2 linked regions of the Arabidopsis thaliana genome follow. The protein of the gene in region 1 interacts with the protein of each later gene in a pairwise test. Each region holds a gene or a part of one and is shown on either strand. Other genes may lie near its edges.

What was found. The genes of interacting proteins can lie anywhere in the genome.
Region 2: the proteins of MSS3 (region 1) and AT4G16444 interact in a protein complementation assay, tested with the Arabidopsis thaliana proteins (one large-scale study listed by BioGRID).

What each region holds. Positions count from the first base shown.
Region 1 is NC_003071.7:17,990,489-17,993,808, forward strand, and holds MSS3 (Calcium-binding EF-hand family protein), read right to left. Parts: upstream 1,560-3,320; 5' UTR 1,468-1,559; coding exon 820-1,467; 3' UTR 564-819; downstream 1-563. Other genes in the region: AT2G43280 (Far-red impaired responsive (FAR1) family protein), read left to right, coding at 1-53, 158-373. UniProt on the Arabidopsis thaliana protein: Potential calcium sensor.
Region 2 is NC_003075.7:9,274,806-9,278,564, forward strand, and holds the start of AT4G16444 (tail-anchored protein insertion receptor WRB-like protein), read right to left. Parts: upstream 1,643-3,759; 5' UTR 1,454-1,642; intron 1,294-1,453; 5' UTR 1,252-1,293; coding exon 1,141-1,251; intron 1,066-1,140; coding exon 986-1,065; intron 863-985; coding exon 792-862; intron 501-791; coding exon 430-500; intron 346-429; coding exon 264-345; intron 181-263; coding exon 131-180; intron 58-130; coding exon 1-57.

The DNA of each region.
Region 1 (3,320 bases):
AAGAACATAACCATCCACTCGTTGTTTCACCTCGCGAGGCTCGCCATACCCTGGTGAGTACTTAACTTACTTAACTTATGTCCCTGTGCAGTGTAACATTACGTATTTTGAGCAACAAATGTATGAAACCATTTTGGTAAATTATATGTTGTTATAGGACGAGAAGGATAAGAGAATTCAAGAACTGACGATAGAGCTGCGAAACAAGAAGCGGTTATGTGCAGCGTACAAGGAACAGTTAGATGCTTTTGCAAAGATTGTTGAAGAGCATAGTAATCAGATAGCAAAGAAAGTTGAGAATGTAGTGAACAATTTGAAGGAGTTCGAACATCTAGAGCATGCGCTATTGCGAAGTAAACAAGATGCCATCTAAGCCAACTATTGATGTGTGCGGCTGTATATTCTTTGAATTGGTGAAGCTTTCCCGATCGTAAATGGTTTAAGTGTAATCTAGATGTGGTTTGAATCTTATTTTATGGAATGTAATGTGAGGAACTTTGTAACCATAGAGTAGAAGAGGACATGGATTTAACTCTTGCCTTTAGATTGATACGAATGTGGTTGGTTCTGCAATATACTATATTGATAGGAAACAGTTAACAATCTACTTAAGAACACTTAACAATCAGAATAGATGAGAAGGTGAATCTTACATAAGCTCAGAGATACCCTAAAAAACAAAGATTACACACCTTCCTCGATTACACGATGTTTTGATTTGTCATCAGAAAATTTATTTACAGAGGAAAAACAAGAAAAACAAACCAATCAATCGAATAAACACACTTCTCTTCTGTCAAATCAAACCCTAGTTAAAGATCAATTACTGCTGCTAAAGCCACCACCTTTCATCATCTGAAGAAACTCTTTGTAATTGACTCTACCATCACCATCTGCATCAACTTGCATAATCATCTTCTTACAACCATCTAGGGTCTTCCCTTGCTTGAGTCCCAAGGAAGCCATCACAGATTTCAACTCCTCCACAGTGATAAACCCATCTCCGTCTTGGTCAAACACGTTAAACGCATCTTTCATATCCTCTTCCTCTGTTTCGCCATCGTTGTGATGCTCATCCACAATCGAGCTGTACAGCGACTCAAACTCGTCTATGTCGACGCATCCATCACCGTTAGCATCGATCTTGTGGATCATTTGAGTCAGATCTTTGTCTGGTATGTAGATTCCAAGATTCTCAAGCGAGTCGTTGAGCTCTTCCTTTGTGATTCGACCGTCACCGTTCTTGTCGAACATCTGGAAAACGCGTTTGAGCTCGGACGGATCTATTCTTTTCGTCGGCGCTGAAGAAGATGATGGAGAAGGTAACATCGTTGACGGAGACGGTGGTGAGTTCTTGTGGAGAGTTTTGTCGAACCAAGAAAGAGGGAAAAGAGTTCGTAGCTTCTTTGGTACTAAAGAGAGAAGAAACGAATTTAGTATATTGTAGAGAAGGAATATTCTCACCATAACTGTTGAATCACAACTCTTATTTTATGAGAAGAAAAAAACAGAGAGAAGATCTGAGAAACAGAGAGCTTGAAACAGAGCTTTGTTGATACAGAGAAACTTGGAGATTGTTTGTCTTTATAGAGGAGAGAGAGAGAATTTATTATAATTATTAAATAGTATATTTTTCCGGAAATTATTTTTTCTTTTTCACGCCTATACAACCGTTGAATCTAATTTTTAATCCTTTACTTTTTGGAGAAAGTAAATTAAAATGGAACGTTACAAAGAAGAAAACAACGATTTTATAGAGAAACATGACTTTTCTAAAAATATTTGTAGTCTTCTTCTATTCAACAATAATCACATTTAAAAATTAGATTTTACACTGAGCAAAAATATATACACATATTTACATTTGAACACTATACTTATTTACATATTATGTTCTTAAATCTTATAAATGTACATCTCTAAATGAATAATCTTTATATGACGAATTAAGATCCAAAGGATCTCACCTAATACAAGTTAAACGTAGAAAAAGCCGTGATTTACAGAATCCATTTAAGTGTATGAACCATGATAAATGAAGGATAAATATGTACAACTAGATTTTAACCCGCGGTATACTGCGGGGACAACTTATTTTTTAAATTAGTATATATAAAAGTTTACAAATTAAATCTATTTATTTTTATTTTATAGTTTACAATTGTTATTAAGTGACGTCCTATCAAACCCGTCTCGCCAAATCCGTCCCGTAAAAAAAACCGCGGTACACCGCTAATTTAAATATATAATGAAAATAAATATTTTACGGGATTGCAATTGTATTTTGGTTTGTCAAACAAATATTTGTTTTAAATAGTTGTCAAAATCTAGTTCAAATTTTGGAGAAAAAAGATTTATTGGATAGATAAAGAATGTATTTAGGTGTGTTTTGTTCATTTTAAGGGATTGCAATTATATTTTTGTTTGTCAAACATTTTTTGTTTTAAATAGTTGCTGAATATATTTGGAATATTTTTAGTTTGTTAATTAATTTATTGATAGAAAAAAATCAATAATTAAAAGCTAATGGCAGCCATTGTAAATAAGTCTCAACTATAAGATTTATTTCACAAAATAACTGAAAAAATGTATATATCTATTGTAAATAAGTCTCAACTATAGGATTTATTTCACAAAATAACTGCAAAAATGTATATATAGATTTAATTTAAAATGAAAAAGAGATTGAATTAGTGTGGAAAAAAAGACAATCGTAGTCTTTAAATAACAAAAAAGTAAAGAAATTGCAGAAAACGCGTGAAGAAGGTAGAGGTGTGTGTAGTTAAACATATACATCGCTTTTCTGATAAATTAAAAATGAAGTAATGTCAAAAACGCGTTGTTATAATTGTTGATGTTTTGTTCCTGTCCCCATTTGTTTGGTTATCTTTAGTTCTTTACTTTGCCGGTCTTCTTCGTATTTCAAACTTCTTATAATCAATTCATTTTATCTTATCCGTAAAAGGTAAAACACAAGTCCTAAAAAACCTATCAATTGCCTTTTGTTCAACAGATCTTCTTTTCCGATAACTCATAGTCAATGGATCAAAGTGTTACAAACACACCACGTTAAACATTTGAGCCAGAGTTCAGGGCTCCAAACAAAGCAACATACTTGTTTTTTTATCCGAGATTTTTTTTAATCTAATTGCAGTGTTTTATTTCGACTAATAGAATTGCCGTAATCTTTCTAGAATCAGTAAACAAAAAGTGTTGTTAATGATAACGTAACGGGTCTAAGAAAGAATTAAAGGAAGTTATTGGGGACCAAAAAACGCGCCAAGAATGACGCCCGTTGGATTATGACCGTTGGATCTATA
Region 2 (3,759 bases), on another chromosome or scaffold:
CCTACACACATATTTGCTCACTCTGTTTGAGAGTATGAGCCACGGTATGATCCCGACCTGCATTTTTACCCAACCAACACTCTCAATCAAGAACAAGCCCAAATAAATGGATTGAGAAGAAGGAACTTACCATTACATGGCCTGTCATGTGACCTCCTGTTCCCCAAGATAACAAAGTCCCTGTGAAACACACCACATTCATTTTTTTCCTATGTGTTATATACCATAAGCGAGCTTTAACCTGGTAAAAGTAAACTACTCACCAAACGGTTGAACAAGTTGCTTAGCGATAATGGCAATTGGAGTCCTCCAGAAGCACAATACCAAGATTAGGTATATCACAACCTAGAAACAAAGTTCTTAGCACATCTCGATTAAGGAGTTTTAGACGGAAAAAAAGAAGAAGCTTGAGCACACAAACTAAGCTACCTTCGAAGCAAGCAGACCCTTCCCATACATATCGTATGAAAGCTTGATTTCTTTGTGATGCTGCTCCAGATCTAAAATTTCAAAATGAGAATTAACAAATACACACACACACCAATACTACACCATGATGATGCAGTGCTTTAGTAGGAATATCTGCTACCAGATAGTATTCATGTTTAAAGCTAACTAACTGTTGCATCATATTTCTGAATTTCATGAACTCTACACTCACAAAGCAATCAATCATATTTCTGAATTTCATGATCTCTACACTCACTAAGCAATCAATCATATTTCTGAATTTCATGAACTCTACGCTCACTAAGCAATCAATGTAGAACTAATAATGTATGCATACTCACATTGTGCAAGTTCTTTCTCTTTAGTAGCTGCTGACCTCCTAAGTTTCGCTGCTTGCGCAAATGTGGCTGGCCTGCAAGTAAACAATAGATAAATCTCTAATCAACAACACTCATATATATATTTTTCAACAACTGCACCTTCCTTAACTCAAATCACTAGAACCAAAACAAAATGTGACAACAAAATGGCTTACTGAGACAATGCACTAGCCTCTCTCAAAAGCTGCTTAATTTCGGTTCGCAGCTCTGATTCCCTCGTGTTCTTCGACCCTTTCTGAAGAAATTCCATAATTCAAAACGATGATTCATGTGGATATGAAAAAAAGCCAAAAAGTATTATCTTTTTTACCTTCTTCAATTGGTCAAGCCACTTGGATAGCAATTGGAAGACAACGACGACGACGAAGGTCAGAGGAGCAGCCAAAAAGCCGCGATCTTCTATAAGCTTCTCTCCTTCCATTAACCCTTTTGCTGATTACTGATTCTAACGTAATTCACCAATCTGCTCGAACAATTCATAACTCAGTACCATTCAGATCAACAAAATAAAAGCCTTAATTGAATCCATCATGTTCTGGATAAACATATCATCTAATCAATGGAGGAGGAAAAGATTCTAGTGCATATAGAATGAGATCGTCGTGAGTATGATCGGAACTTACAATCTCCGTCGTGGATTCACAGAAATTTGAAGCCTTCAAGCCGAGGTTAACGTCTGAAATTGAACGAACGATGGGAATTTAGAATTGGCCTGAATCTGTAAAAGAGGAGGGTTCTGATTTTGATAAAACAAAAGTTTCTACTCGTTTCGTGAAATAAATAAAACTCAAGCCCTTATGTGTAAACAACAATAACTAAACCCTTTTTCAACAGGCTCTATTGGGCTTCGTTGAAATAAAGAAACGGCCCATTAAATTAAAACTAAACCGCTTGTTTATTTTCTTTAAAATTTCATTAAGCTTGGGTATACATGAGTACATGTGAAAAGAAACAACAACTAGGCTACAAGTTTCAGTCAACAGTAAAAGTATCCAAATTTAGAATGAATAGGATAAAAATAGATATAAATAGTAGAGATGTAGTAAAACTACAAAATGGAGGGTAAGAAATTAGAAATGTGAAAATTTAACAAACATAATGTATTCTTTTTACGTGGAGTGGTTGTAATGGTTTTACCAGAAATGGCACGCGTTGTCTCTAATCTTTCTCAACTAATCTAAAGACACTATATGTTTTGTCTCATCCGATCCCACTTAATTATGTTAATCATCTATCTAATTGGGGTTATCACCAAATCAGAGCATTATCGATAACATCGCAGATACCGAAGCTGAAAAAAGGAAGAAAAACAATGTAAGTCCAAATCCTAAACGTCGTAGCATCTTCAGCTTTCGTGTATGCATGCCATTATATTCCAATTACTTGACGACAAACTTTTGCTCCCACCACTTTTGATGTGCCTTTCAAACTTTGTATCCCCATTGTCCACTTCCTCTTTCTTTCAACCCGCTCCGTTTTGTAGCTATACTGTCTCACTTTTTTTCGTTGTTAGAGGTGTAACAATAAATTTACCAATTTAATCTAATATATCATTTCATTTGTAATGATATCAACATTCTTATCTAATATCAACAATCAAGAGTGATACATTATAAAGGCATTTGACATTTGTATATATTGGTGAATATATGTGAGATAAGTTTTGTACCTTGTGGACCAATTAATGTGGGGAGTTTGCAGAATCCGACTATGAAGTGAAACTCAAAATGCACACATGTGGTTTAGAATTGTATCAGAAAATTTTACATTATATGGGTGTTAAGAATTATATGTACTGCAATTATTATATATATCAAACACAACTAATATCTATTATATAAGATTATCACGATAGGAAATATATAAGTTTGCATCGGCTTTGCATTGAACACATATATTAATTGATACGTATATAGTATTCTACTTTTTTATAAATTAATCTTTTCGATCCCTAAATTAGTAAAAATATGATAATGTACATGCATGGATGTTTTCATTATGGGAAGGGAGCGTAGAGTAGCATTTTGATCGAGAGAAAACGAGGAGATCGAGAGAGAATGTCTTGTGTAAAAATGAGTGGTCTTTTTCACAATTATTTATCAATCAAAACACATCTCATACATATATGTTGATATCATTATTCCCTAGTCTATTGAACTCCATTTGTCTTTTTATCAATAGATAGGCCCACTTTTTATATACTTTTTCCTCCTTGCCAAATCATAAGAAGTTAAAACTTAAAAGTGGATCAACTAATTTATAGAAACCATTAACAACTTTTGACACTCTTCTTTAATGTGTGTTTCATTTTTAATTGAATGCCAATAATATAACTTTAAATTCCACTGAGAAGATTTGACGTAGAGACAAAGAAGTGGCTCCAATTCACCATCTCCCAAGCCACCAAAATCTCTCCTAAACCCTTTTGTCACTCCCTTTTCTCATATTCACTTTTTTTCCAAGGAATATTTAAAACCTCATGCAAGTTTTCTTGAATATAACAACATACGAATATGATCTTTGATTAGATTACTCTTTTATATATTATGGTTAGGCATGTCCTTGCAAGATTTTTGTATTTAACATATTGAAAATTTATCATTGAATTACAACTCTGTTATGCATACAATCAAATCAAACGTTTAAGAAGACCATCCCTTATATATATTTATATACACCCTATATTCTCGGGATGTAATAAAGTTTCCATTTCAAATAAAAAGAGCCCTTAAAGGGAGGTAAGTGGGGGGCATGAAAAAAGGGTTTATATATCTCAATAATCATCCAAACAAACCAATCCATGTGCTTCCCTTCAAACATTCTTCTTGTCATTTTCCTCCCAACCATTTTCTACTTTGGCCAACTTTTTTTCTTTTGCTTCTTAAAAATAAAAATAAAAATATGCAAATTTCCACTCACACATTATACA